3 linked regions of the Arabidopsis thaliana genome follow. The protein of the gene in region 2 interacts with the protein of the main gene of each other region in a pairwise test. Each region holds a gene or a part of one and is shown on either strand. Other genes may lie near its edges. The genes, in order: CRK2, TPI and AT1G16000.

Evidence for each region.
Region 1: the proteins of TPI (region 2) and CRK2 interact in a protein complementation assay, tested with the Arabidopsis thaliana proteins (one large-scale study listed by BioGRID).
Region 3: the proteins of TPI (region 2) and AT1G16000 interact in a protein complementation assay, tested with the Arabidopsis thaliana proteins (one large-scale study listed by BioGRID).

The regions. Positions count from the first base shown.
Region 1 is NC_003070.9:26,582,047-26,592,745, forward strand, and holds CRK2 (cysteine-rich RLK (RECEPTOR-like protein kinase) 2), read right to left. Parts: upstream 5,583-10,699; 5' UTR 5,289-5,582; coding exon 4,520-5,288; intron 4,446-4,519; coding exon 4,332-4,445; intron 4,251-4,331; coding exon 4,111-4,250; intron 4,024-4,110; coding exon 3,813-4,023; intron 3,719-3,812; coding exon 3,484-3,718; intron 3,402-3,483; coding exon 3,251-3,401; intron 3,172-3,250; coding exon 2,842-3,171; 3' UTR 2,683-2,841; downstream 1-2,682. Other genes in the region: KNAT2 (homeobox knotted-like protein), read left to right, coding at 1-99; CRK3 (cysteine-rich RLK (RECEPTOR-like protein kinase) 3), read right to left, coding at 6,704-7,036, 7,122-7,266, 7,356-7,590, 7,684-7,894, 7,989-8,128, 8,272-8,385, 8,466-8,854, 8,960-9,333.
Region 2 is NC_003074.8:20,549,009-20,559,707, reverse strand, and holds TPI (triosephosphate isomerase), read right to left. Parts: upstream 6,306-10,699; 5' UTR 5,915-6,305; coding exon 5,876-5,914; intron 5,549-5,875; coding exon 5,473-5,548; intron 5,183-5,472; coding exon 5,059-5,182; intron 4,715-5,058; coding exon 4,630-4,714; intron 4,536-4,629; coding exon 4,403-4,535; intron 4,225-4,402; coding exon 4,130-4,224; intron 4,020-4,129; coding exon 3,941-4,019; intron 3,855-3,940; coding exon 3,772-3,854; intron 3,681-3,771; coding exon 3,630-3,680; 3' UTR 3,148-3,629; downstream 1-3,147. Other genes in the region: PBL1 (PBS1-like 1), read right to left, coding at 1-169, 357-480, 560-705, 784-919, 1,012-1,382, 1,501-1,579; AT3G55430 (O-Glycosyl hydrolases family 17 protein), read left to right, coding at 7,704-8,165, 9,015-9,902.
Region 3 is NC_003070.9:5,489,807-5,500,232, forward strand, and holds AT1G16000 (GAG1At protein), read left to right. Parts: upstream 1-4,726; 5' UTR 4,727-4,769; coding exon 4,770-4,938; intron 4,939-5,251; coding exon 5,252-5,343; 3' UTR 5,344-5,553; downstream 5,554-10,426. Other genes in the region: PnsB1 (NDH-dependent cyclic electron flow 1), read left to right, coding at 31-181, 269-459, 532-789, 869-974, 1,061-1,146, 1,225-1,393; CNGC7 (cyclic nucleotide gated channel 7), read right to left, coding at 1,498-2,217, 2,287-2,635, 2,721-3,034, 3,133-3,345, 3,433-4,006, 4,084-4,130; MGT2 (magnesium transporter 2), read right to left, coding at 5,656-5,886, 5,979-6,026, 6,114-6,572, 6,686-7,276; AT1G16020 (vacuolar fusion protein (DUF1712)), read left to right, coding at 8,827-9,002, 9,180-9,273, 9,386-9,569, 9,669-9,707, 9,835-9,944, 10,022-10,426.

The sequences.
Region 1 (10,699 bases), on a different chromosome or scaffold from region 2:
AATTGGTTTATAAACCAAAGGAAACGCCATTGGAAGCCTTCGGAGAACATGCCGTTTGATATGATGGACGATTCTAATGAAACATTCTTTACCGAGTAATGAAAAGAGAGACATGAAATTGTGCATTGTATAATTTTTACACTGTTTTTCCAAGAAAAGAAAACAGTAAAAAGCTTTTGGTAAATGGGGCATCATCGCGAATGAATGGAACCCGTTAGCCAAAACGGTCAAGGGCGTAACGAGACATTGTATTGGAAATAGTGGCAATATTATGTCACTAATCTTCCAATCATCCAAATTGATAGATTTCTTATTTGTATTGAACCTTACTTAGATAGCTGATGTGTCAACTAAATAATTTATTTTCATTATCCATTCGGGTAGAAGAATTCATTATCCATTCGAATTTTGTGACTATTTGGCTCGGTTTCGGAGCCGGATTTTTCGGATCGGTTTTTGGATTTCGGATTTTATGCCCAGCCCTACTTATACTACTTGTATCAATGTCTCTAATTGATCAATTGTTGCTTGCTATTCAAATATCTGTCTTGGCAGTTCTCAAGATCGTACAGTAAGGATGTGGGAAGTTACTGGGGGTGGTAAAGATAAATGTTTGAAGCTTGGGTGGGTTGAAGAAATTGCACCTAGGGCTGGAATTATTGAGTACTTCTTTTTTGTTACCAAGTATGATACATAAGATAACTTACCTATACTATCTAGCTTCTCTCAGTGGTTTATAACAAGATTTTAGTTTGTGCTCAACGATTTGTATTTTGTTTTTCTTATACACTTATTCAAGCCTCATCTACCACTTAAACTAATTTTTAAAAAGTATTAGTAAAATTAACATGGTTTTAACTAAAAATTATTAATTATTTATCTTAAGGTTTAAGTTTTGAATTGGTTTTAAATTTTTAGTGAAAATCATTATTATTTTTTAAAAATGAGTTGAAGTGTCAAATCTATATTACGTGAAAACATTACCGAACTTCGAACACTTCAAGACTTACAGACCAATTAAGGACGGGATGCCTAGGCGCGGTTAGTTCCCGACGTTTTTAAAATTTAACACTTAAACTAATTTTAAAAAAATAATAGTGAAATACATGGTTTTAGTTAAAAGTTAAGAATTATTTATCTTAAAGTTTAAGTTTTAAATTGTTTCTAAATTTTTAGTGAAAACTATTATTATTTAATTATAATTTTACTAAAAAATATTTTTTAGAGAAAAGAAAAAAAAATAATAATTGAAGAAAAATAATACCTTGTTGGATTTTGTAGCAAAGAAAGCCCAATGAAAAAAGCCCATTCGAAGACCACCGTGAACTCGTCTGAAAAGCCCTTAGTTGCTGCTGCGTCTTTGTTGCAACTCCTCCGAAATTCTCCGTCTTCTTCATTCGTTTTTGACTCTTCTCTATACTTGTCGTCTCCTATCATCGCAATTCATCTTCCCCCGTTTGGTGTGTTAAACCGGAGAAATTTGGAGTTTCGCCGGAATCTTCCTCTGTCTATTGTATAATTTCCTCTGTCTTTGATCAAAAGTTGATCGTACTTGGATTCCCGATCTCTTCCTTCTAGATTAGGTCCTGGAATCGTCTTCTTAGGTGCTCCTCGCTTTCACTGCCCCCGATCTCTTCCTTCTCAATTAGGTCAAGAAAGAGAGGACGTGAGAGAATCAATTACGATTCTGAGATGATGAACTCGAGGATTACATGGATCATCATCAAGCGAACAGGTATGAAAAGATGGGAACGATGAATGATTTTGGTTTCTCGAAGAAGAAGGACGTGAGAATAGAGCGTATTTTGATTTCTCATGAATGAAGAAGAAGAGAATGCGTGATCTAAGTGTGTGTATTTATAAGGATGGTTTTTTTTTGGTTTATTGTTAATCTAACCGTTGGGGATTTGATATTGTAGAGGAAATCTAAATTAGATTCGATTTCCAGTTACGAATAATTATATCAATCTAACCAAAAAGGAAGTTACGTTTTGGTTGAAACTTTTTTTCGATATAACGTTTACAAAGAATCATCTTTTTCGCTCACAAAATATTATATATCAAAAGGTAAGAGAGAACATGAATGATGATCAATTTAAGAAGTTGAATAATTTCAACTCCATTGCTACTTTTATTCTAAATGGTTTCTTTGTATACAAAAATTTGTCTGTTCCTAACATATGTTGTGGTGGTTGCTACAGGTAGTCTTGGTTTGTGGAGCAGAAGCCAGTTTCTGAGGACTTGACAAATACAACACACGTTGACATCAACCTACCAATGCTGCTCTATTTGTCCAGAGAGAAGCCCGCCTGGTTCTGAGATCCCGTACAAGAAAGCAGGAGCACATAGTTTCTAAGTTCTGATCTATGTGTCCAGATAGAAGCAGCCTGGTTCTGAGATCACAACAAGAAAGCAGGAGCACAAACAACAACAAAGCTTGAGCTCGAGTACCTACCTTAAACTGCTGCATTGAACCACCAATCTTATATGTTTGCAAGTCTGGTGTGGATGAGGATAACATTTTTTTGAAGATGGCATATGTTGGGAAATTCTCAGACATTTCATTCTTTGTTTCTGTTGTCTTCTCTCTTGCAAACTCGCAAGTCCGTTTATAAGCTTGCAAACTATTAAAGATAAATGTTTGAAGCTATGGGTTGGTTGAAGAAATCGCACCTAGAGCTTGAATTATTGAGTACTTTTTTTTTGTTATCAAGTATGATACATAAGATATAACTTACCTATACTATCTAGCTTCTCTCACTGGTTTATACACAAAATTTTAGTTTCTGCTCAAAGATCAAAGATTTTGTATTCTCTTCTTCTTATACACTTCTTCAAAGCTCATCTACCATAAAAGGAACTTTGTGAGACAGTGGCAAGAGATGCACAACCAGCTGAATCACCATCAGAACCATCTCGAAGTTCCATGACTCTTTCATCCATAAACGGAGGATTACTCGGCAATGGCAAGACCTCCTCTTTGTTCTTTAGCATATGTAATAACTTAGACATCGGTGGTCTTAGCGAAGGGATCTCTTGAGTGCACAATAGCCCTATTTGAACAACTCTTGCTATCTCTTTCTTGATGATGTGACTGTCATACTGACTCTTCCAATCGAGGTTTGGATCATATATTTTCTCCAACTCTCCTGACTGAAAATGCTTCCATGCCTTCAATAAAAAACATAACACCACAATTAGTTTGAGAAGTGAAACCTGCAGACCCATAGACAAAATATGTCTAACTTACCTCTGTGATCAAACTGTCTGAGTAATCTGACATTTTGCTTTTGGTGTTCTGTTTTCCAGTTACAATCTCTAGTACAAGAACTCCAAAGCTGTAAACGTCTACCATCTCTGTTAGCTGACCATGTGCTAAGTACTCCGGAGCCATATAACCTCTGCAGTTTCACAAGTATTGGATCAGCTCAAACATTCATATCTTTTTGAAGAAATGGTACATTTTTCTGAATATATACTTACAAGGTCCCTGCAATGGCAGTGCTAATATGGCTCTTATCGTCCTGGAATGATCTCGCCAGACCAAAATCGGCGATTTTAGCTTGAAGCTTTGAATCTAGCAGAATATTACTTGCTTTTATGTCTCTGTGAATAATTTTCACAGACGACTGCTCATGCAGATACACCAATCCTTCAGCGGTTCCAACGATGATCGTGTATCTTCTCTGCCAGTCTAATGTTTTCCCTCTGTTCACGTCTGCAAAAGTAATAATGAAGACAGGTTTAGTGTGCTGCTGCATTCAAGATTCAACAATAAAAACTCATCATATAGTATTATTAGTAGTAGTTACCAAAGATGAATCGATCAAGGCTCTTGTTCTGAAGGTATTCATAGACAAGGAGACTCTCTGGTCCTGAGCAGCTGCAACCAAGCAGCCTAACAAGGTTCTTATGTTCAACAGTGCTGATCATGTTGACTTCATTGTAGAAATCGGTTGCTCTATGTCTGTTGTTAAAGAATAACCGCTTCACAGCGATATCTCTTCCGTCTGGAAGAACCCCCTAAACAAGCCAGAGAGATACCACTATATCACTCATTTGCTTTACAGGAAGGTATAGAAAGAGAGACATGATCATACACACACATACCTTATAGACAGTTCCAAATCCGCCTTGTCCAAGCTTGTTCGCGTTGTCAAAAGAACCTGTGGCTTTCTCTAGTGTTGAGTATTTGAAATTCAAGCTACTGTCTTTTAGTGTTTTCGCCATTTTCTCAACATCTTTTGATCCTGTTAAGCACCAAAGATCTCGGTTAAAAACACTCAATCCTTCTTAAACCAATTCATCACAAATCAAGAAACTAATCTTACCTCTTCTCTTCCTCTTTATGGTCCGACGTTTGCAGATATAAACACTTACTGCTACTCCAATCATGAAGACAACCACAGAGCTAAGTACTGACACCACAATCACTACCACAGAGCCTGCAAAAACAATTACTTATGACCATCAAGCGAATGAGATTCTATAGAAAGCATGAATCTTTTTATTGTGTTACCTCTTGATCTTCCGTTTCTTGGTATCTTATTCAAGAAATCTTGATCAGAGTACCGAAGGAAACATCCAGTGTGAAGCGCACGTCCTTCTGACCATGGCAAACATCCTTTAACCACAGAAGCAGAGGCATTCTCCAAACACTGTTTACAAGAATCAGGACTCAAAGTTCTCCAACAATTCGCCAACACAAACGCTGATTCAGATTCAGATTCACCCGCCTTTGCAGACGCACGAGCGTACCCTCCAGTCCCAGAAGCCTCAGTAACAGCATTTCTCAGCCCTTGTCTCACCGCATCACCAAAAGTCTTATTCTTTCTCGTCGTGTTTCCACATACGATGCTATCTTCAGGTCCTTTGTATTCATTATAGAAACTATAATTCTCAGCTCTCATAAAACATCCATCAAGAAAGATTCTACCTCCGTTCTGAGGATAACACTGCGGAAGCATCGTCCTTGCTTCCGCGTAACAGAGTACACAATCGTTTAAAGGAAGATCACCATAGCACTGCGCAAGACCATAGTTAGCGTCTGGTCCTGTACCGGTGAGAGCAACTCCAAAACCGGAAGTTTGTACTTGTGTGCTGATTTTCTCCATTGTGGCTACGAAATTTGGGACATAAGCGGTTTCGTTGTGCTCAAGCAAAGGTGAGCAAGTGACTTTAACGGCTCTAGCCCTTGCGTCTCCGGTGATTTGACGGAGTGATGAAAGAAGAAACATCAAGAGACATGGAAGGTACAGAGGAAGGATATGGACAGGTTCTTTCTTCATTTTGTTTTGTTTGATTGAGAAAGAGATCTCCTTTTTTTATTCCCTCATCAAGGGTTTTGTGTTCTGTTTCAAGTTGTGAAGAAAGAAGAAGCAGAGAGATTAAGAATTGGAGATGATGAAATTGAAGAATTTTCAACTGCTTGACTTTGATGATATTGGTTTGTTAGAGTCAACCAAATTTGCTGTCTTTCTCTCTCTCTCTCTACTGGTTTAGTCAAAAAGTTAATAAAAAAAATTGATAATGGAGATTGTTGGATTTCTTCTTAGTCTTGAATTCACACTTGGAAACCAAACCAGCTCGATCATGTTGTTGAAGTCGTTGTCTTCATTCAAATATTTGTCGTTTTCATAAACCTAAAAACCAGTGGACTAATAATTAATAGAGCTTATCTTATGTGGAGCCGGTTCGGTTTAATTGGATAAATCTCTTTACCGGTATCATGAAAAATTCAATTTTCTGATTAGTTAAAGAAAAAAGAAAACGTCACATATGCGTAGTGTTTAGTAAGATGACATTCAAGAAAATGGATAAAGTGACGTTAGACTACTTTAAATAAAGAAATAGGTTTGTTGGGTTGATTTTTTTTTTGTCAATTTGTTGGGTTGATTTAGTAGGCCTAGTTGGTATAGTACAATAAAAGTTGTACAAATAATAAAAATATATATAACAAAATACCATTTACATGTTGCCATGGTCAAAGTTTTATTCAAGATCAATTGCAAAGAAAAATGAGAAGTAGTTGGACATTCAATTCTAAAAATGTTAAATCTAGTTGGCTATAATAAAGACATATGTAGTATATGTGTTTCTATCTAGTAGTCTCCTATGGCTTCCTTGAAAGAAAACAAAAACACTGATAAAAAGTCCTTGATTCGAATCCACTTGTGCAAAAATTAGGAGATCATGATCCAAACTTTGCGGTAATAAATTTAGTGAATTTTTAGTGATTTGATTTTTTTCTTGTGTACATTTAATATGTTTCATATTTTGATTCTTAGGTAAATATCCTTATGGCATTATTTGGTTTTACTCGAATTTCTTTGCATTTGTGGTTGCATTTTTCTATTTAAATATGACATTTACTCTTTCTCTTTTTGTAAAGTTAAAACGAGAACAAACACAAAAACCGCTTACTAATATACAAAGCTACTCAAAATTAACACACAAAATAAAACTACTGAACCGTAAACCGAATCACTACAATCAAAACCGAGGCTAAACCGGAATCTGTCCCCGTCATGTAAGCTCTACATTGTTCACTTCCTAGCTTCTATGACATTGTCGTGGCACATAAGTAACCCTCAGTTCCTAGCTAACACACGATTAATTGGCATCTCAATTTTTGTACATATGACACAAGATGATTCAGAATCCACACGAAAGGATACTGATATATCTAACACGATCTAAAACCTCATCTAGGTTCAAAGAAACTCGAACCCTCGGTTATGTAGTCACTCCTTGATCCTGAAGAATTAGACTGATTCGTCGTGGGAGTCATCATCATCTTTCTCATCTCTACTACACTTCCTGGATTCAGAAACGGTGGTTGCGTCGGCGTATGAATCTCCAAACTCCCTTTCATCATTTTCACAACCACAGACATCGCAGGCCGCTGATCAAACGCTGCTTGAACACAGAGAAGCCCAATTTGAAGTAGCCGTGACGCTTCTATCTTGTTGAAGTTATCACCTAAGATTGGATCCACTGCCTCTTCCACATTGCTTGTTCTGTACAGACTCCATACCTAAAATATGTTTTCAAGATTCAAGAAAAAGGATTTGATCTAAAATCAAGAAAATGTTTGAACTACTTGTAGAGAGTTAGTTTACCGATTGTAGGATCGAACCAGCGTCTTGTACGAAGGCATTGTTACGTTTTCCGGTTATAACTTCAATCATAAGAACTCCAAAACTATAAACGTCTGCTTTCTCAGTTAGTTTTCCTCGTACTACATATTCTGGTGCCATGTAGCCTCTGTTTCCACAAGTAAGAATCTTCAGAAACAACACAAGAAACGGTAGAGAGAGATATTAAAGTTACAAAGATAAGTTTTGAGACTTTACAGTGTACCGGCGATGGCAGTGCTGATATGAGTCTTGTCCTCTGGGAACAATCTAGCCAATCCAAAATCAGCAATTCTTGGAGTAAAATCATCTTCCAAAAGGATATTACTCAGCTTAATATCTCTATGTATGATTCTAAGATTTGACTCCTCGTGAAGATACGCCATTCCTTCTGCTGTACCAAGTATAATCTTGAATCTCTTTGCCCAATTCAACGGTTGAACATCTTTTCTTACTGAACCAAAACAAAGCAACAAGAACAAGTCAATAAAAGATCCATCAAGACATGGTAACTGTAGTAAAAGGTTTAGGATTGACAAAAACAAACCGAAAAGATAGTCGTGGAGGCTTTGATTTGCAATGTATTCATAGACCAGAAGGCTCTCTGGTCCAGTTATGCTGCATCCCAAGAGCTTAACAAGGTTCTTGTGGTCTACTTGGCTTATTAGATTAACTTCGTTGAAGAAATGATCCACCCATTGCTTTGTGTTGAAGAACAGTCTCTTTACTGCAACAGTCTTACCATTAGTAAGAACTCCCTACTCCACAAAAAGGGCAAAGAGTTAACCAATTGAGAAGTAGGAACATTCCAACATGAAACTCTAGAAAATGTATAATAAGAACAGAACTTACCTTATAGACAGAGCCAGATCCTCCTTGTCCTAACTTATTTTTGTCGCTGAAGTAATCGGTAGCCCTCTCGAGATTCTCATAGGAGAAACAGAGATTAGATTTGTTCGCAAGCATGAATAATGACCCTAGTTGCTTCTTCTCTACATTACATTACACACACACACACACAAATATCTGTTAAGATCAAGACTTCACTATTATAACCACTCAAACTCTATGACTAATCTTGAAAACTAAGCTATTTCTGGAACATAAATCTTAACTAATTCTTTATGGAACAAACCTCTTTGCTTCTTGGCGTGTCTCTTTTTAAGCAAGAAACCAGCGGCAGAGACCAACAGAACAAAAGCCACAACCGAAGATGTCACCGCCAAAATCACACCCAAATGGTTATGACCTGATCAACAAGAATGTTGCTAAATAAATGTTACAAACATATACTAAATTTAAATCATATTTCAAGCTTATTCTACTTACCACCATTACCATCTGATGTAGAATTTCCAGAATTGTTATAAAACTTTTGAGTAGAAAACCTCATATAGCAACCAGCACTAAGAACTCGACCTTCTTCATTAACCAAACAAGAACCAATCCTCACTGAAGCTTTACTCAAACACTCAACACAACCACTTCTATTAAGAGTCTCCCAACACTGAGCCAGACCATGAACCGTCACGTTATGTCTATCCACAAAACCAGCATAGAATCCACCATTTCTCACCGCCTCCACACTCATGTTCTTAACCAACTCTGCAGCGTTATCCCGAAATACCGTCCGGTTTACTCCGGTAATCTCCTTTGGAGCACAAACTGTCCGGTCTTGCAAGCTTAACGTCTCGTTATAGAAATTGTAGTCATCGTACCTAAAACAAAGATACAACAATCGATTATAACCAAATGCAAGAATCAATCAAACCATAAAGTTAAGATTTTTATCGGATTGAAATGAGTGTGAGAGAGAAACAAACCTGATGTAGCAACCATCTGAGAAGACTTGACCACCACGAGTACCTTTTTGGAAAGGTAAGCAACGAGGAACTTTAGCTTTGATCTGAGCGAAACACAAGTCGCAATCTTTCTTATCAAGATCTTTTATACACTCTCCGTAAGCGTAGACGGTTAAGTTTCCGGTACCGTTGACCACTTGTCCGTAACCTTTAGCTTCCACTAGTGGAGAGACCGCGTCCATGGCGGCGAGGAAATTGGTGACGAAGAGACTTCTCTGTTGCGGCGTCGTTGTTCTGTTGTTGCATATCTGAGCCACTGTGTCTCCTCTCGAGTCTGAAACAGAAGGGCTTATAAACAAACCCAGAATAAGAAGAAGAAGAGTCAGAATCGGCATCTGGGTTTAGTGGTTAAGCTTTTGAAATTGAACAAGAAAGCATTTGTGTAAGGTTTTTGATCTTTGCTCTGTTTTCTTTTTCTTCTCTCTTGAAATGGATTGGGTGATTGAGAATCAAGAAGGAGACACGATCGGGAAGTTGAAATTGAAATTCTTAGATTTTGGTTGTTGGGTCAACAAAAGAAGAAAACTTGGAAAATTTTCCAGTTTGAGAGTTTTTCCAATTGTAAGAGAAGTCAAAGAGTGGACTTTTGTCTTCTTACGATTCAACGAAAGATACCGATCGCATTGGGGTATTGAAAGCAGAAAACGACGCCGTGTGGGAGTTATGTTCTGTTTTAATGCACGGGGCATCATGACGTCATTGCTTTTGTCACTTTTTTGTATGTTCTGTTTTGTCACCCACAATGCGGAACATAGAAAAAACAAGGATTTCTGTTACGGTTATATAAGTTATACAATCGTTGGGTAGTTGCCAATTTGCAATTCGTATTTACTAGGCATGGAACTTTAAACAGAATAGAGAATGTCGAACCAGACCGAGATTTTCCGAATTTCGATTTAGGGAATTGAGCTAAGTCACTAACGGTAAAGTCTATTTTAGTAACCGTTAACCGTTCAGTTCATAATAAACTTGTATATTTATCGATTAACCATTCGGTTCGAGTGTTTGAACTGATCAAAACCAGTAAACGATAAACATATAACCTCTAAAGTTCATTATATCTAGCCATCGTCGGCCAGCCTCTTTGTCTTTTTCTTCTTACGTCGTAATAGTAAGAATATTTTACTAATTTGCACTGTCTGAAACTCTGAATAGTCCAACACAAACAAATTCATGAGTGATATGAAATTAAAAACAGATTTTGATCAATGCAAGAATCTTCTAAAGTTCGGAGTAATTTTCCGGATATTTCCTCTTTTACGTTTTTTTGTAGGAATAGTTTGAGAAAACAAGGCAACGTAATGGATAATGGCGTAAGTTCTCGTCTGCCGTATTGTGAAGGTCGTCTCTAAATCAAAGCAACTTCAAAGTCTTCAATTATTCTTTTTATTCTTTCTCCACCACAATTATCCATCGACAATCTTACTTTTATCAGCCATTTTATCTGAATTTGCCGCATATTTTGACTTACTTGTACATTCTGAAAATGACAGTTTTATTCCTGTCAAACTAATCAACCATCACTTTTTGAAAATTACGTTTTTGTGAACTAATGAAACAGTGTTTTGTTTCGTTATTTTTCAATCAGGCAGATAGATCTTAGAAAATAATTGTCTTAAAAATTTACATAAATTTGTGAAATTATTGGTACCAGATAATTTTCGGCGAATTTTATTTAGAAAAACGAAAATAATAGAAACC
Region 2 (10,699 bases):
GTGTCCACAATTAGTAGAACCTTTCGCCTGCTTGTGAGGTATGGTCGAGCCCAATCCACAAGGTTTTGCTCCTTGGCCGGGCGGTTATGGTCTAGTGCTTGCCTTCCACATAGTAGTTCTAGCAGAACAACCCCGAAACTGTATACGTCGCTTCTAGCATTTAAGTGGCCTGAAAAAAGATAGAAAGATGAGAGAACGAAACTAGCTATCAACCCATATGCTCCTTTAACCACATAAATTTTATAGTTGCTATCTTCAAATTTACATTAAAAACCAGTGTTAGGCACCATGCAACAGTCTTACATTTTCTTATCCAACCATTATTACTTGCATCATATCTTAGTGACAGAATGTACCTGTTGAGACATACTCAGGAGCTGCGTACCCAAAAGTACCCATGACCCTTGTACTAACATAACTTTGTTCTCCCATTGGACCGTCTCTCGCTAAACCAAAGTCTGAAAGCTTTGCGTTGAAGTCCTGTTGTTTGAAAGACAAAACTCAGTATCTTTTAAGTCGTTGATAAAGACAACAAGTAGACATCGAAAGAGAAGAATACCGAGTCCAGTAAGATGTTTGACGCCTTGATGTCTCTGTAAATGACTTTGACGGGATCACTATGAAGAAATGCAAGACCTTTAGCTGCATCAAGTGCAACCTTAATCCGTAGAATCCAAGATAGCGGCTTAAAATCCTTATTTCCATCTTCAAAAAAATCATTCAAACATAAGAACAAACAACCTCTCAAAGTTTCACAAAACATGGACGAGATCAAAGACTCACTTGCAAACAGATGATTCTCAAGACTACCCTTGTGCATAAACTCATACACAAGAAGCCGTTGTTCATCTTCCAAGCAATAACCAATCAATTTAACCAAATTCGGGTGACTTAACTGCCCCAAATAGTTAATCTCTGTCTGAAACCACAAAAAAAAAGATCAATATCAGAACCTACACACACAAAAACAAAAGAGTGTTATAAATCAAAGATAAGAAACAAGTGTTGTACCAGCCATTCTCGGTGACCTTGAAAACCATCAGGGTTAAGTCGTTTAACAGCAATAACAAGACCAGAGCTAGATTTGGTAGGAGTAAGAGTAGTCTCATCAAGCCAACCTCTAAAGACACAACCAAAGCCACCTTCTCCAACAACAGAGTCCGATCTGAAGTTTCTAGTAGCGAGTTTAAGTTCATTAAAGCTAAAGCTTTTGACGGTCGTTGAGCTAAGGATTTCTCCTTCTGTCTTATGAGCTGTAGCTGATGATGAAGATTTACAGCTCGAGAGATGAAGATCATCGAGACCACTACTGCTCTTATCTGCACAACACACAAAAGCGTTGACCACAGTCAAAATTGAGAGAACGCCAAAAAAGGGGAAAACTTTATTCAGTTAGATCACAGGAAGAAGATTCTTGCAAATTTCATTCCTTTTCTTAAAAGCCATTATCGATTAACCAAAAAGATCACGGATTTGAAGAGATACACATGTGTGAATCACAAAAAAAAAAAAAAAAAAATGGGAGATGGAGAATTGTAGAGAACGTACTAAGGACACGAGAACTGAGACAAGAACCCATTTAGTAGAATGATGAAGAAGATCGTTTTTTTTTTTTGCACTTTTCTCTGACAATGAATTTCTTCTTATGCTGTTTTTGGGTGGAGCAGATTCTATCAGATAAAACTCATTAAAGCGAAATAATAAAGAGAAAAAAAAAAGAGAAAGAGAAAAAGTAAACACTGAAGAAGAGAGAGGATGAGAGAAGAGAAAGAGAAGATGTGTGTTGATGAGATGGTAGAGGCAACCGAAGGAAGAAGAAAGGTCTTTTTCTTGTCCAAACAAAAAAAAAACGAATTCAGACAAAAGTTATATTTTTGACCAAAAGATAATAAACGAGTTCTAAATAAAATTAGTAATAACAATTTAATGATCAGTGGGACTTTTCTATTGTATGATTTTTAAAACTTTTGAAATTCATAGATTGATTTTGATGATCTTAAGCATCTGAGTAAACGTGCAAAAAGATCACTAATGATATATGTTTAAGATTCAAAATAACGTTTTTAATAGATATGACATCTGAGTCAGATGGTCATGAGATTTTGGAATCTTTAATAGGCCTGAAATAAATTCGCCGTGGTGGGGTTGGATACAAAAAGAAAGAAAAAAAAGGACAAATTTTGTCGAAAATGATAGATATTCATGTGATCATAGATATTTTCGATTTATATGCTTTGGGTGTGGAATGATGAAACAGATTCGGGTTTAGTAATAGTGGTCTCAAAAATGTTTATAAAAGTAGGTAAGAAAATATAAGATTTGTAAGAACTAAGAAAAATATCTACTTAACCAGGAATTAAATTAAAGTTTACAAGTAGGTAAGAAAAATAAGATTTTTCAGGAAAAAATTATGCTTGACTACATACGTATAATGTAATTAAATTTAGTATCATGGGATGGGACATAAGTTTTATAAATACAAGTTTTTAAAACAGAGAAATTTTTTACCAAAACTTGTTTTGAGTCATACGGACCCAAAATTACTCTATTGCTGAAATGATCGATGACTTAGTCAAACCTCCATTTCTAAGGTCACAATTGTTTGCTCGTTACGCAAATAAGTCCAAGGTCAACTATATAATATAATACTCATAAAAATTCAATCCCTACTTTCTTAAATATTACTCAGAAATAAATAAAATATAAGTCACCAGAAATGTGGGTTGACTTGGGAGATAATACGTTATCACATTTGTAGCTGAGTCACATATTGTGGAGTTTTTATTGGCACTAGTTGGATTTTCGTGGTCGGATCAAAATCCATACACATTTTCATCATACTGAGTCCAATTTTTTAATAAATGGTTTGAACAATTCTGACATACGGGAGCTCTTATTTTGGACTTAACCGTCTCTTTTACATTATCACTTTAGTTCCACTGAGCCGTTTTACTCAAATTACATAAGCATTTTGTTTTCTACAAACATTGACATTCCTAATACAATGAGTTTCTCCATGAAATTTCTTTTCCTTTTTTACTCTCTACATAATAATTTCGTAATGTTGGACATTTTTCAAGATGATGACAATAAAGTTGAAAATAATAATGTTCTAAAAGCTAAAATGTCAAAAATGACAGACCAATAGGCAAAAAGCGATAAAAGGGAAAAAATAAAGTCATTTCCCACTTCTCCTGTATTCTCTCGTCATTTATTTAACAAGTAAAGCCATTTTCAAAGTGGTTGACAGCATGATTCAGAGATCAAGCATGACAAAATACCAAAGTCTAAAATGGAACAAACAACATATTATATAACACACAGGTTTATGATCGGACGACATTAGAAATAGGGGTTTGATCAAAAGGCCCGAGGGGTTATGAACTCCAAACACAGATTCTCTGAAGAGTTGAGAAGACTGTAAAAGGAAGGGATTTGCAAATTGCAAGTCCACAGCTAAATAAATGGCGAAGAAAATGATTGTTGCGTTCTCAAAACAATATAGTAAGAGAGAAACTTTTGCCAAATACAACTGAAGCAAAATGTATCATATCATAATACCAACTTATTCATTTTTTCAGAGTTGCGACTGGAAAAGCAAAGGACTTTTAAATTGCTTAATGAGCTCATTAGGCACTTTTCTTCACCTCTGCGGCCTTAATGATGTCGATAAACTCAGGCTGCAAAAAGACCAAGAATGAAAACATTAGTCATGGTTTTGAAAGAGACAAACGAAAGATATCATTACAAGAGAAACCATATTATATGTACCTTTAGAGAAGCACCACCGACCAAGAAACCATCAACATCGGCCTGTCCACCTAGCTCCTTGCAGTTACCACCATTGACGGATCCTGATAATAATTTGCATAATCAAGCTAAGTAACATAGAAAACTATATAGGGGTGTTTAATTAAAGATCGTGTTATCATCTATCTACCTCCATAAATGATGCGGGTTGTAGCAGCGACATCAGCACTCACGTTCTTGGCCAGCCATTTCCTCAGCTCATCGTGTACCTGTTCATAAACGAAACAAGCTCTCGTAAGGAAAACAGCATTGGTTTTCCTATTAAATCATGACCATATGCAACACGTTACAGTGCAACTGCGCATCGAGAACCACTTACTTCTTGAGCTTGGGCTGGGCTAGCGACCTTTCCGGTTCCAATGGCCCACACTGGTTCATAGGCTATGACAACATTTGACCAGTTTGTCACCCGATCTGCCATTACCAACAAAAAGAGTTTTTTAGCCAACAAATATTTCTGTGGGGTTTGAATCACACACTAAGGGAGTATAGTGCGTAGAAACGGGCATCACTATCATCAAAACAGGTCTCACTGTAAACGAGAACGAACTGAGATAGCAAAAAGAGATTAAATGTTTGACAATATACATACCGGCAATAGCCTTGGTCTGGGCAGCCACAACATCCATGGTCGATCCAGCTTCCCGCTCCTCAAGAGTCTCACCAACACAAGCAATCACTTTCAAACCTTGAGCAAGTGCATAGGCAACCTTGTCTCCGACGAACTACAAATGTAGGATAGAGGTCAAAAACCAAAATCATGAATTTAAAAGCTATTTGAGTCTCCAGAAAATTATTTTATCATGTAAAGTCACCAACCTCGCTTGATTCATTAAGGATTGCCCTCCTTTCAGAGTGACCAAGGATAACCCATGGAATATCCAAGTTCACAAGCATCTCCGCACTAAAACACACAAATTACACAATGCATAAGAGCAGGAAATACAGGCACCACAGAATATATCTTTTCTTCCTATGAAAGCATTCCATAGACAGGTAAATCATATTACACCTACTTGTCTAACCAGGCACGAATCCAATCATGGTCTTACTACCAACTACTAGTTGTTTTCTTAATCACTTAGGTTACACAATTCTTATAGGAAAGAAGATAAAGAAGAAGAACAGATGGAAAAATCGATTCGTTTATAAACACAATCATATTCATTTTCAAAACCATAAATATTTACTGCATGAAGCAATAATGGTAAAACAGCTTAAAGTATACACCAATGGTTAGAATCTCACCTCACTTCACCAGTGAAAGCACCTCCTTTCTTAACCCAACAGTTTTGTGCCGCAACAAAAAAGTCAGACCTCAATGTGCTCTTAACCAGGGGAAGAAAAACATATGGAGGGCTAACCACAACCTCTGCATTTAGTAAAATTTCATCAAATTATTAATACAAGAACAAACATACTTATAACTATCAACAAAGATAGAACCATAACAAGTATATGATAAAGAACATTTTAACTAACAACAAACACTAGATCTATCCATGGTTCCTAAGAAGCATAAACACTATAGAACATCGATGTACATTGAAACAGGTTTGTAATTGTATGCCCAAAATATTTGTCACTACTTAAGATTTCATAGACATGGAAATTAAAAAAAAAGCCATAATGTCGTCAAAGCAATTGAGATGCTACACATACCTACAACATCCTGTGAAGGAACCTGAGCTTCATTAAGAGTGTTCACAATCTTCTTCACCTCCTCAGCAGTTCCGTTCTATATAAGATTACAAATTCAAATATTAACATGTTAAAATAGTTTAACCAACAAAATTAACACACGGATCCACCAAAGCTAGAACACGAGATATCAATTGAAGAAAAATTCCTACTCAAAATTTTGACAAAAAAAAACAACTAAGATCCGGCATAGAATCGACAAATCTGAACCATATGCATTACAATTCAAATTCCACCGCTACAAATAATGAAAAAAACCTTAGATCTTAAGATCGGGATTTTCCGATCTCTTTGACTTGATCGGGGAAGGATCAAGTGACAAGACTAATAATAAGGTGCGCAATAGAAGGTAAAGATCACTTACACATTTCCAGTTGCCTCCGACGAAGAACTTTCTGGCCATTATCTCAAATTTTTTTCAGGCGATGATCACGAGAGTCACAGATACGACGACGATGGAGAGAGCTGAAAAGATTAGATCGATAGTGTTCAGTGGCCGTTGTCTCTCGCAGGGGTCACTCATATATATATAAATAAAAATATACTCTCAACATTTTAGATTGGAAAAGACGCATATGTCTAGGGTATATGAGAATATTCCCTGAACGATTAGGAAAGTTGAGGATATTAAAGTAAATTAGGAGGGAGGATGAAATATTATGGACGTGTTGGCCAAGGTTTGGTCGGTGTACCGGGTGGGGTGAATAATAAGAATAGACAACGGCGTGGATAGTGATGCTGTTGTATGGGCTTTAGGCCCATTAAAGCAAGCACATCAATAAAACCCAAGTTTGGTTAAAGGAAAGCCTATTGAGATGATTCTGAAACCAAATTATATTTGTATTCCCTTAAAGATAAATTCTGTATTACGCAATTCTTTCTTTTTTTTTCTTTTTTTTTTTTGGTAAAAGTTTAAATCGTATTATGCAATTCTATATTGTAATGCCCCTTCTTGGATACAAATAGTGTGGAGAAGGAGAAAACTGTTGTAAGTTCTCAAGTTAAACTACTAAACCACCATGAGAGCATTGAGCCGGCTCACTTCAAACATTGTGGCATACTTCAACAAACATATTGTTAGTCTAAAGGGCTATCGAGTGGCATCGATTATTTTATGTGATATCATTAAAAAGTAACAATGGTAATTTGTTATTGCAAAAAATAAGGATGGGATTTAATTAAAAAAATACAAAATTACGTGGTTTGTGTGTGTGTGCAATGAGTGTAACCATGTCATTGAAAATGACAATAAACTGTTAACAATGAGACATGGACGCGGATCTTCTTTTCCCAAAGAAAGCATAACAAATGGCTAAAGCGTGTCGGTAAAAGTTACTTCGAATCAGCTTCCTCAACAACATCTTCATACTTCGAATCTCTTTGACTTTGGTCCGTAGTGTTCAAACTCCAAACTATTCCTCCTACAAACACGTGTCCAATGGGCCAATGGCATTATCCCAAACCGCGTCGATCTCTCTTCTTTTTCTTTTCACTTAATATTTAACCATATACATTTCGTTGATACATCAATATTACTAATCGATTTTTTTTTTAGTTTTAAGTTTAGCAGTAAAAACTCAGATAGTCTCCTTTGACCTCATTAAGAACATCTTTTAATAAACGTATCCAAGAAAAAACAACACTCGATCTCTCTTTTGTTTTCTTAACTTCACTTTAGTTCCTTTTTTTCAAATATAGTTCATCCGTATCTGGATAAAATTAGGATTGTAAAATTACGATTAACAAGAAAGAGGTATATTTTTAGATTAAACTTGGATAGTATGAGTATTTACCAGCCAAAAACCATTAAAGAAAAAGATGACAAATTGATTATCCAAACAAAAGCAGACTCTATAATTAGCCAAATTAATTAACTAAAGTTTCCACGGTCACAACAAAATCCACTTTTTCAATAATTTACAACGGCCTAAATTTAAGCCGACGCACATGAAAAACAAAGACAACACAAACTTCTTCTTTTATTTTGCTTTCCACAAAATCCAGCTGTTCCTCACTAAAAATATACACACGTATACGCTATACAAAACGGTCATATCTATTAATTTTTATTATAAATACTTTCTCGATAAGAATAAAAAAATCTATTCGTCGTAATAATAAAAACACAACTCAAACGATTCACGGGTTTCACTTGGAATCGTTTGGTTTTCTCATTTCCGAAATATAAAAAGATGGCCAAAGCGCCACCGTCAATCTCTCTTCTCCTCCTCCTCTGCGCCGCCGTATTCCTCACCATCCCCGCCGTGATCTCCGCCATCGGTGTTAACTACGGAACTCTCGGAAACCTCCCACCACCGACTCAGGTGGCTAACTTTATCAAGACACAAACTTCGATTGATAGCGTCAAGATCTTCGATGTGAATCCCGATATCCTACGTGCCTTCGCTGGAACTGGTATCTCCGTCGTTGTCACCGTTCCTAACGGTGATATTCCGGCGTTGGCTAACGGAAGACAAGCTCGTCGGTGGGTTTCGGTTAACATTTTGCCGTTTCATCCTCAGACGAAGATTAAGTATATCTCAGTCGGAAATGAGATTCTGCTCACCGGAGATAATAACATGATCAATAATCTCTTACCGGCGATGAGGAATCTTAACAACGCTTTGGTTCGTGCTGGTGTCAGAGATGTTAAGGTCAGCTTTCTCTCTATTTTTCAGATTTTTCTATTTTAAGGAATAAGTAGAATATTTGTTTGGTTTTGGTAAATAAAATTAAAGTTAAGTTTGATGTTCATTATTGTATAAATTTCAGATAAAAAATTTTGAAATCTCAACTTTGAATTTGATATTTGCTAGTGGGAAAGTTTTTTTTTTTTTTGTTTACTTAACTTTTTTACCTAGTTTTAATTTTCTTTAACTAAAAGAAATTGTAATTATTAATAGTGAATTGATGATTGGCGTGAAAAATGCACTGTTTTTTTTTCTTTCCCTTTTTTATATCAGAGATAATGCATTGATTGCGCATATGTATAAAGTTGAAAAACAACGTTGAAAAAAATATGCAAAACAAAAATTGATTATTTTGAAAAATTAGATTCAATCTCTATTTTTTCGTCTGTTATCTAACTTGAAATCCAAAATTTCACGCAAACGTAGAATGTTGCGTTTGCTTCTTTCTTTTTTTCATCCAACTTGTATATTGTTAGTTTCTTAAAAAGAGGAAAAAAATAAATTCCCAAAGCAAAATTCAAAGATTTGAAACTTGAAAATGTTAGCGATTGGATTAAGATCTGACCATTTAGACTATCCCACGTGCTTATCTCATCACCGTCCAAGGTTATCCTATTGTCCTTAGATTCGTTCATCTGTCTGCCATGCCTTATGTTTCCTTTATTACATCATGATATATGTGATCCTAGGTAAATGAGATAATGTACCAATTTCATAGGAAATTTAGACCAACATGATTATCATATGAAAATTGTTGGAGATTGGTAGGTAACAATTGATTCTAATACTACTATTTGTTGCAATTGATCTCAGGTTACAACCGCACACTCACTTAACATCATAGCCTATGACCTGACCGGTGCACCAAGCAGCGGTAGATTCAGGCCGGGTTGGGACAAAGGCATATTGGCTCCAATCCTAGCTTACCATCGCCGAACCAAGTCACCTTTCATGGTTAACCCGTACCCTTACTTTGGTTTTGACCCCAAAAACGTCAACTTCGCAATTTTCCGAACACCGTACAAGGCAGTCCGTGACCCGTTCACCCGCCACGTCTACACCAACATGTTTGATGCACTCATGGACTCGACATACTCAGCCATGAAAGCTCTTGGATACGGTGATGTTAACATTGTCGTTGGCGAGACTGGCTGGCCATCTGCTTGTGACGCACCTTGGTGCTCGCCTGCGAATGCTGCTTGGTTCAACCTCAACATTATCAAACGTGCACAAGGCCAAGGGACACCTCTCATGCCTAACAGACGGTTCGAGACATACATTTTCGGTCTCTTCAACGAAGAAGGCAAACCCGGTCCGACCGCAGAGCGTAACTGGGGACTTTTCCGAGCAGATTTCTCCCCGGTTTACGATGTTGGTCTTCTCCGAAACGGACAAGGCGGTGGAGGCCGCCCAGCATTGCCCGCACCTAGTACTGCCGGCGGTAAATGGTGTGTAGCGAGGTCCGGGGCGACGAATACTCAGCTGCAAGACAGTATTAATTGGGTGTGTGGTCAGGGTGTTGACTGTAAACCGATCCAAGCTGGTGGTTCGTGCTTTAACCCGAGCAGTTTGAGGACGCACGCATCTTTTGTTATGAATGCTTATTTCCAGAGCCACGGCCGCACTGATGGTGCTTGTAACTTCAGTGGAACTGGTATGATCGTAGGGAACAACCCAAGCAATGGTGCATGTAAGTACTAAGGAGATTGTCTATGTAGTAGTATTTGTCTGGAAAATCCTAACATAATGGTTCTGAGGAACTTTGGATTTGAGAGATCATCAGCTTTGTGTTTAATTTCGGATTATCCTAATTTTAAGATTTTTTTGTTAATTATTTTTTCGCTGATTCCTTTTATTTAAATAAAGTGGAACTTCCATAAAATTTGCTTCAGCGTTACGCTTAAAAACATTGATTTGTGTGACTTGTGATCTTTATGTTGGATATAGATGGTCCATCAACCTATAAAGCAATATAAGCGTTTAGAAACATAACCTTATCTACAAGATAATTATGTCTTTCTAGGCCATGAGATTAGCATCAGTTGAAGATTTCTAAATGCCGATTCCTCGACCAATCATACTTTGACCCGACAAAGGTTTAAAAGACTAAGAAATATGACAATGTGTAGTAGTAGTATCATTGGACAACTATGACATGTTGTAAAACTATGACTTTACATTGTTAACATATCTTGACATGACAATGTTACAGAATTGTTAATATATGAAATACTGTAGTAAATTCTAGTCTCATTCAAATCATATTTGGGTGAGACCATGTAGAAGTAGACATGTAATGTAAGTGTGCGGTTGTGACCTGAGATCAATACACCAATACTAGATTGTAATGTGCAGAGACATCACAACTACATAGAAAATATAGGATAACATACTACCCTTAACACTCGCTTCTTCTAACTTTATTCGGTTGATGCGTCATATATGTATAATGACACTTAAAACTAAGCTCTGAAAATCATAACATATACTAAAATGAT
Region 3 (10,426 bases), on a different chromosome or scaffold from region 2:
ATTGTCCGTACGTTTCTGTTGTTTTGTAAGGTATCCTGGTGTTCAGGTAGATATATTAACGACTGAAAGAGGAAAACAAACATACGAGCTAAACAAAAACGTGAGATGGGCCAATGTGTATGATCCGGATGATCATTGGCCTGAACCAGCTGAATACACAGACATGATCGGACTCCTCAAAGTTTGTAACTTTCAAATATTTCAACGTTTTTTCTATCTTTCCTTTATCAGACTGCTTAGTTAACTTTTCTTTTAAGTCATGTTTCAGGGAAGGTACTATGACATGGTTCTGTCCACGAAGCTAGCAGGGTTAGGCCACGCAGCGTTCTTGTTCATGACAACGGCTCGAGACAGGGTTAGTTACATTTACCCGAATGTTAACTCTGCAGGAGCTGGTCTGATGCTGTCCGAGACCTTTACAGCAGAAAATACCAACCTTTCAGAATTAGGTTATAGCATGTGAGTTCCTTGAAACCGAAGAAACTGCAGGTTTTTTTATCGCCTGTCTAAATTGACTGTTGATGGTTTCAGGTATACTCAGATGGAAGATTGGTTAGGAAGACCGTTTAGGAGTGTTCCAAGGACTCCTCTGTTGCCACTTAGGGTATCGATTTCACGGAAAGTGAAAGAGGTTGTGGCTGCAAAGTATAGGAATGCTGGAGCAGTGACGGGGAAGTTTATAGTGATTCATGGTATTGAATCAGATTCTAAGGCATCAATGCAATCAAAAGGAGATGCTGATAGTTTACTTTCACTTGAAAAATGGGCTAAGATTATAAAGGGTGTAAGGTAATTATTACACACCTTCAAAATGTGAATTTTTTGCTTAGTTTGAAATTCTCTGAGATATGATTGTGAACAATGCCAGGGGATTCAAGCCGGTCTTTGTGATTCCACATGAGAAAGAAAGAGAAAACGTTGAAGATTTTGTGGGTGATGATACATCTATAGTGTTCATCACAACACCAGGACAGGTATGCATGCTTATCTGTCTGTATTTGTTATGAACAAAGTTGAATTCACTGATCTTACTTTGATTCCTTTTCTTGAGCTTACTTAGTTGGCTGCTCTGATAAACGATTCTGCTGGAGTCATCGCAACAAACACAGCTGCGATTCAACTAGCTAATGCGCGAGACAAACCATGGTGAATACCTGAGTAATATAAAGAGTACTGATTCAATGTTTTCAAGAACTAACATGTGTGTGCTTCTTTTTCTTCCAGTATTGGGTTGTTCTCTTCAGAAGAGAAAGGGAAGCTCTTTGTACCGTATGCAGAAGAGAAGAGTAACTGTGTAATTATTGCTTCGAAGACTGGAAAACTAGCAGATATCGACATTGGAACTGTTAAAAATGCAATGCAGGTCTTTGAAGGATCATTGGCTCTCGTGTAGATAACTTTACAGTTTCTGAAACAAGTTCTATATATAGAGCATTTATGTGTATAAATCAGTTATGTAGTCTCTGTTCTGATGTTGGCCTCTCATCAAGAATTGGATTATTCAGCATCAAAATCAGGTTCCGGAGGCTTTTGCAGATTTATCAAGGTCTTTGAACTCTCTGAGCTCCTAAGTCTGTGCCCTTTCAATGCATTAGCAGCAAATCTTGATGCAAATATCGTTGAACGCAGTCTAGAAGAAGACTCACTTCTTGTGATAACCATAGGCCTCTTGTCACTCTCATCATCATATTCATCTTCATAACCCAATTCTTCTTCTTTTTCTTCAATCCGTCTCAATTCAGCGTTTTTCCTTCTTGAATAGCGACGCCAAGCAGCTTGGATGAAGCAAGAAGCCCAAGTTCTCCATTGCTGAGAGTAAAACCTAAATGTTTGTTGAACCTGTCGACTATGAAGTCTCCTAAACTGACTTGCTACAAACTTCAGCTCTTCAGCTTCAAGAGCGAAAGCCTCTACTTCAGTCAGAGCCTTCACTGTTCTTGTGGAAGAAGGTAAGTTTGAGCCTGCTTTAGGGTCAAGAGCCCATGTCAGAAGCTCTTCACCACAAAAGTCTCCTTCTTTTAACAACCCTCTGTTGAAGAAACCGCTTCTTCCCCCATCTGTTGTTACACTTTCTAACCGGCCTCGGATTATGAACATCATTTCGTTAACGGGGTCTCCTTCACGCACAATGTAAGTGCTTTCCGTGAAAAGACTCGGCTTTAATCTCTCACAGATTGCGTCAAGTAATCTTTCATCCATATTAGCAAACAGAGGAACCTGTAGAAACAGAACACATAGTTAGTTAGTATCTCAAGCAATTTTAGCATTCTGATTGTGAAAACTTACCCTCCTAACTAAATTCAGACAGAGATGGCGTTTGATGTCTCTTCTGAGATCCTTAGGTAAACTCTGAACTATGTTTTCTTCGTCTACACCTCTTGTCTCTAACCATTTGTATTGATCATAGCGTCTGACTCTTTCCCTCAAATTTTGTGGAAGTGACCTGTGATGCATCCACTGTTCTGAGTCACGTCTTTTGATCCTCATTTCCTCGAGACGAACAGTAAGTGACTGAAGATAAGTCTGCATATTCCCGATGAGAAGCGCGAAAAGAAGAAGCCCAGCTATAGCAATCGCAATGGAAAACAAAACCTCTCCTGGAAATGTACTTGTCTGCAGCCCTTGACCTAACGTGCTGTTCATGAAAACACCAAAGATGTCAAGAGTACTCTGCACAAGCTATCGGTTGAACCAATGACAATGAGTTGCCCCCGCCTTACCTGAGATTTTGAAGACCCCACCATAGACAATAACAGAACTTGGAGAAAAATGTTGTTGATGATACAATGCCTGAAGATATAGCCTGACCGTATATCCCATAGTTAAACTTTGAATCATCTGCTTTAGCAGAACAATTGCTCTTAAGAAGCTCAGGGACTGTTTTGATCCATTCAGTTTCTCCACTGCTCACAAATTTAGTCCCACAATACAGAATCTGAACACAGAGTCGCGGATCTGGCTGAACTTTACACGCAAATCTCCAACAAGTATCGTTACGCTCCACTGACAACATGTACCAAAACGCTCCAGTTATCTGTCAAAATGTGTTTGTAAAGTCAGAAAGTGACCAATGATGAATAAATGTCTCAAAACACTAATTAAGAAGAGTCATATATACATAGAAACGCTTACGTGGCTTGCAAGCATATACCAGAGAAGATAATAAGCAGCACCAGCCCAAGCTCCTTCGGCAAAAGCTCCTGCAGTTTTCTTCAACTCTGATGTTAACGGAATAAACCTCACGAATCTCGGAATATACTGCACAATTACAATGTTCAACAATGCCGTTTTCGTTGGTAACACATCCGATCCTTTAGACCCGTGAAGAAACTTCCACACTGCAATCTGTAATATCCACACAAAACATCATAATCAATCCCAAAAGTCCAATATTTTTAGTAACCATCAAAGGATCTTTTCACTCTGTTTTACCTGCGGTAAAGGCAGCACTGCAAGAAAATCGACGACGAAATAACGGGTTAAATAGCGTTCAGCGATCTTTGCAGGATCAATCACAAGCTCACCACGACCAAACACACGAGAAGAAGGAGCTATATAAGCTGTACGAAACTGAAGAGCCATTCTAGTTAAGTAAAAAACGTCAACAATGGTTCTAAGAGTCGTCGTTGTAACAGCTAGTTTCGTATCAATCCCTATACAGCTGCTTCCGGAATTATCGACAATGGGAAGATAGAAGAACAAAGGATCAACAGAGACAGCTAAAATACACGAAATGACGAACAATCTGTTCCATACGAGAAGTGTTTTGTCTTGAGGATCAAAGATTTTCTTCTCTGTTATTCTTAAGTCTTCTGGAAAAACCGCTCTTGTAACGGATTTACCGATGGTTATTAGACCTTCTGATCTGATTTTTTTAACTCCTTCCCTGAAAGATTTGGATGCTTTCTTCTTTTCACCTCCTCGGTTCTTTAGGTTAAATCCGAAACAGTTTCTCTGCATCATCATTCCAGTCGCAGGAGAAGAACTTGAATCTATATCATCTAACCTGTAATTATAAGTTAAATGTCATTCATAGATCTGAAGAAAACAAAGAAAAATATTGCGATCTTTTGATTTTCTTACCTAACGAATTTTTCTCTTTGGCCGCTTATGTATTGGGATTTGTACATTATTCTGAGAAACAATCATAAGCTTCATGCAAAAATTAACCTAACAACATCACAACAGATCTCAATTATATGAAATAAAAACTGGAAAAGAGCTAATTAAGGATCGGCAACAAATACTTAAAGTGATTTGTAATAAATGTGGGAAAGTGTATGAATGATTAAGGAAAATCTAGGGCTTGAAGAAACTTGAGAATGAAGAAATTGAGGGTTCCTACTTAGTACCATAGATGACGGATGAATGATTGAATACTCCTTTAGATTGGACCGTTGTGAAAGTTGGTTACCATAATCATACACTAACTAACTTTTGATGCGGAGCGTATTTACCGCGTATTTTGACGAGGCGCGAAGAGTTATTATAGCTCTCTTCTCTTCTATCTAATTCACTCTCTTTATTGGCTTTCGATGAGTAGCGAATTTACCGCGTATTTTTTGGTGAAACTGTAATGTCAGAAAGTTATCACGCTTCTACACTAATATGTAACAAAATATGGGGTTTAAAATGTTATTCAATAAAAAGGAAATCTTATGTTGATGGGCCATAATAAGGCCCACTTATACATGGTACTAAAACCTCTGATGGATAAACCTTGTGTGCTGTTGATCGGAAAGGAAAAGTAAAAAAGAGAGATCTGAGAAATGGGAAATGAGACGAAGACCAACGGTGGTCCTGCAAGTATGGCCGGAGGCGGAGGATTCAGAGCTAAAATGGAACATTACGTTTACAGTGGTGAAAAGAAGCACGTCTTGGTCGGGATCGGAATCGTCACCATCATCTTCGGAGTTCCTTGGTATTTGATGACTCAAGGTCCGATCTCTCTCTCATCGTTTAATAATTGTATAACCAAATCCCTTCTTGGGGATTGAAAGGGTAATTGGTAGAAGATGAAATTGGAGGATTTTGATTGCAATTAGATTCTGATTTTGGTTTTCTTGCAAAATGAGAAACATGACATAGTGAGTAAATGGTTTCTCAGTATATATGGAAATGGATCACATTGTTTCATTCTAACATTCCCATAGGACCTGAATCTGTATATCTCTTACATCTGCTTTTGGTTACATCCTATAGTGTTGACTCTGTTTGGGCTAATTGGTTGAAGTTCTTTGGTTTCTTTTAGGGTCAAAGCATCAATCTCACCAAGATTACATGGACAAGGCCGATAAAGCTCGAAAAGCACGCCTCTCATCGTCTTCATCAGCTAACAAGTAGTCTGTCTGAAGGATTGAGTCATTTGCACACTGTTATCTCGTACTCATTTTCCCACACAAGTTAAAACTTAGTCAAAATCTGAGTCTTTTTTGTGATTTAGATTCAAAATCATTCTCATTTTCATGCACCATGTTTGGTTATCCGTTTTTTAATAAAAAGATCAAAGATTCTATCACATTTGGATTGACAATGCCTATGATAAAAATTCCCAAGATTCCATTGTGTAAAGGAAACAAATCATTAATATCTGTAAGCAACATAACAATATAAGTTGATGTCTACTTTCTGGGGAGCACATTCATGTCTCTCTTCTTATAGAGGCATGAGTCTTCTGTACTTGAAGAACCAGACGAATGCCGAAAATATCACAAAGCCACATACTCCAGTAATTATGAGTACCCATCTGAATGCACCTGGCTGATTGAAGAAGTCTATCTCAAAGTTCATCCCAAAGATCCCAGCAACGACCCCAAATATGGCTACAACAAACGTTGCAGTCGTCAGAAGCAACTCGAACTGGATCAGCTGATTCCGCACATTATCCTGCAGATATTGAAGAGGTTTTCAGCATGACTCTTGTGCATTCTCAATCTGGATTAATATCAGCTGTGGAAGATGGAATTTTGAGGTATTACCAGTTGAATGTTAATGAAATCTTCAGTGTCATCAATGTACTCCTTTAACTGTAAAGTAAAGAGAGGAACACAGATGATTAAAGCTGTCTAGCGAAGAAAGATCAAAAGTAAAAATGAGAGGAGCCATTAAAGTACCGATGTCAACTTGTTTAGAGTACTATCAATGACGACAAAGTAAGCTTCCAGCAACATCTCTAGCTCTTCTATATTCTCTGCACCTTCAGAACTCCTTGCACTGTCATGCCGACTCCTCGCAATGCTCAAGCTTTTATCAAGTCTTCGGGAATCAGGTGGAGAAGAAACAGGAGACACCGGTGCAGAAACAGATAGACCATCATTTGACCTGTAACCCAATAAGGACTGGTCACCGTACATAGATCCTTCCATTCTCCTCTTCTTCTCTGTTAGATACATTTCTGCCATATCTCCATCATCATCCATTAGCTGCTCGATCTCATCCCGAACCTTCTGAACTCTTCTTGTCAGTGCTACAAGCCTGCTCTTTAGTCTACGCACACGCTCCAAGTTTAGTGTACTGATCTTTGAGGTAAGCTCATCTAATAACGGGTATGCCTCAATCTCCAACTCTGAAGCCTATAGAGAAGGATAAAATTAAATCAACTTAGCGTGTAGTAGTCAAATCCAAGCCCAATATTAGTCTATATTTTCTGAGGGGGAAACAAAATCGAAGCTAAAGTGTTACTAACCTGGGAATCGAGAAACGTACAAGCAGCTTCAAGGGCTATTTCAAGAGCTCTAAACTCGAAAGGTAAATAATCAGGGGATGAATTCTCAAAAGCATTGTCAAAACTCCTGCTCCTCCTCCTACTCAACTGGGAATTTTCCTGCTGCCACATCTCACCTACACTACTAGTCTTTAGTCTCTGCTGCAACTCAACAACATAGCGCAGCACGTAGTTGTCAAGGGAATTCAGAAGCAGAACTTCGTCTGCAGTAATAATACAACGGATCTGCTCTAAGTTGACAACAATAGCCTTCTCTCGGCCTAGGATAGTAGAGGGATACACGAATAAGGGATCAAGCAGCCTTAAATCACGGGCGGGTAAGTCACACCTACGCATCATAGTGAACTTGTCAACCTCCATGACCTGAGTATTACCAGAAGTATCAACACGAATCCAAGAGCGTAGGCCTTGTCCACGCTTCTTCAGACCCAAGACATCAACTCCAAGAAGGGGTGGTCTTCCAGAAGCAGAAGGCCGAGTCACAGAAGCATCTCTGAGGTTCATAGCTGAAGCAGGTCTTGGAGGAAGCAGGCGCTCTTTTAGCTCAGACATTGTTGCAAAAATTCAGATACTGAAATGCCAAATAACTACAAATATCAAAATAAATGATGTAAACAATGATATGATTAATTAGGTAATCAAGAAGATTAAGTAGTTTCACAAACCACCAAAAAACCGGAAGAGAAAAATTGAAAACATAGGCTAAAGAACAAATACCAGTTAGGAAACCAAGGCTGATTTCGTCGTTCTAACTCTATCCACGACGACTGTAACAATAAAACGATGAACTAGAATCAGATTCCGATTAAAAATTCGAAAATTTTCGAAAATCAGAACCAAACGAACAACAAAAGCCATACCAGAGCTACAAACGCCGTAATATCCTACCAGCCACGGGATCAAAGAGCTGCAGATTTGGAAACAAAACGAACCAGGAATCATATCGATCGGTACGAAGCATAAAAACAAAAAAGAGAAAACCTAACAGAATTTTACCTCTAGCACGGAGATTGGTTTCATCACTCGAGTTAAACTGAATCTAATGAAACCGCGATAGAGAGATTCATAAGGCGGAAAAAGAAAAACCCTAACACAGATCGATCGGAGCTTCTCGGAACAAACACCGAATGGCTCGTCGGATATCGTTTTTTCCGATATGGCTGAAGAAGAAACAAACGAGCGATGGAGACAACAACAAACACGCAAAAGCTTTTTCTCTATTAGTTAGTCGCGCGACTAGTGTGAATACGAGCCATTGATGGGTTAACCGGAATGCTAACCGACCGACTATAGCTAATTTACCGGTTATCTCTAACTTCCCATTATATTATCAAATCTAAACTACTTAACTACTTAGATCTTTTAACGTTGTGTCATTATCACTATCTCCCATTATTTTTATTTATGGTTAATAATTAACCGAGTAATAAAGTAAGATACTAACTGAATGATTGAACAAATTATTTGAGATTCGCATTCACACAACGTATAATTCAGACGGATATGTCTGACTTAACCGGTGGAGCATCTAGAAATATTCGGTTTACCCGTTTCAGATATTGACCCGATTATTTGATAACCCGACCCGGTTTATTTCGTGGCGGTTAGCAGCTGTCCACCTGCTCCTCTTCCTTGATCCTTGTCACAAAATGTCGCGTAATTCTTCTACTGATTTCAGCTCAATCGCTCAAATTCGAGTTTGCGTTTAGAAATTGAAGTTGACTCTTCTGTTCTTGAATCTATCTCCGATCGGTGAACTATCTCGCAGTACCAGGAGATTGATCACTCCTTCGACATTGCTCTTTGAATTCGTCCTCAAGGTAGTCAATTTTCACTTAATTTTTTTTCCGTTTCCTAGCCTTCTACAGTAATTTTCTCTTCTCGATGTATGGGTTCTTCGGTCTTCTTATTAGGAACCTTACTTGGTATTTGTGTGCCGTGGTTGAATCACCAATGTGCTCTTGAAACCCTGAAATTACTTTGGATTTTGAAGTAGAGTACATCCACATTGGAAACAACAACCAATTGTAACATGCTTGATTCTGACGCGGTTCTTGCATTGTATTGTTAGGGTATTAATGAGCTCGTAGAAGCTACCAGAAATGGCGTCCATGAGCTCTGGTGATGAAAGCCTTCGACTTTGCATGTTTGATTTGAGGAGAGGTCAAACTGAAGGACAAGAGTTAGAGAAAATTTTGTTCTTTTATCCTGCCGATTTAGACTTCTCGACGCAGTTATCAGTGATCGGGCTCAGTGAAGGGCTTATTACTTTTACTAGGTCAGCTGCTATAGATTCTTCTTCTTTTTGAACACTGTGAGATGTGTTTTTACAATTGCTGGTGATCTAGATTTGGTTGCATTTGTGACTTGTTCGATAAATTAAGTCAGGGTCGTTAATCGATAGTCTGTGTAGATCTTCTTCATGTTTTGAGGCTTGGTGTGACTATTAATGCAGACTTTTCTCTCCGGAGGCGGCTTGTGAAGTGATCGAAGCAGAAAGACATTCCCATGTTTTCTATGAGGCTGAACCTGATATCTGGATGGTTATGGTAAGGCATTGTCTTACTTTTCTTTTGTTATAGCACAATGTTTTCTATGAATGATGCATCCTATGGTGTCTTAGCAATGTAAATAAACAAGATCTGATCTATACATTGGCAGGTTGTGGAGAAAAATAAGGAGACAGGAGCGATATGGAGGATCGATGCATTAAGGAGGGTGCTTAAAGAAGTGCACTCACTCTTTGTGATGTTTCACGGGTCAATTAGGGCATTAATCGAAAAAGAACCAACAGGAGGGCTTACCCGATCACTATTGTACCCGTTCATCACAGATTATTTAAGCAGTAAGTGACTATCACAAAATCTAGCATATATAACTTTCCACTGTTTTCCCTTTTTATTCTGTTTCCCGCTTCAATACATTTTATGTCAATAATTGTCAGCATTTCAAATATGGTCTCTCTCGGAAGACTGCTGCTGTGGTAAAATCCTGAAGTTGCTGTGTCGAATGCCTTCCTTTGGATTTGTGCAAAACCACCGCATATTTTGTTATCTTCATGGTAAAATACTCAAGTTCGTTCTTATGCAAAGGTTTTCTGTTCCTGGCAGAATTTTTTGTTGGGAAGAAACTTCAGCTACCAACTTTCCGTGAAACTTTGAGAGAGCGTGGAACTGTTCAAATGCTTACTTTAGCAAGGGATACTGCAGTTGAAGTTCAGGTTTGTGTCTCCAAACCTGTTGGATTATTATTACACATACTAATTTGGTATTTGACGAACAGTTTTTGGATGTACAGTCTCTTGTTCAAGTACTAGATTCATGTGCTGGGAGCTTACGATGTCACTCTATGATCTTATTTCAAGATCTTTTGGTTTCAACAACCCTCTCAGCTGATGATACCGTCGACTTGTTTACATTTGCGGTAATGAGGTTGACCTCAAAAGCTTTATCCTCTGATACGAGTTCTTGGTCATATCTACGTAAAGGGCCTGGTTCATCTGAAATCTCTTCTAGATCTAATCTGGCACCCGTTGGCTCAATTGATTCCCTACACTCAAGAAACGGTAATAACATGCATCATGTTATTAGGCCACTACAAAATGATAAGTGGACAAAAGGGAAAGATGGGTTTCTAATAACCGATATTTGGGGTCTTGAGACTGGCGGCTCCCCTGATTCTGCCATCCCTACAATTTGGCTT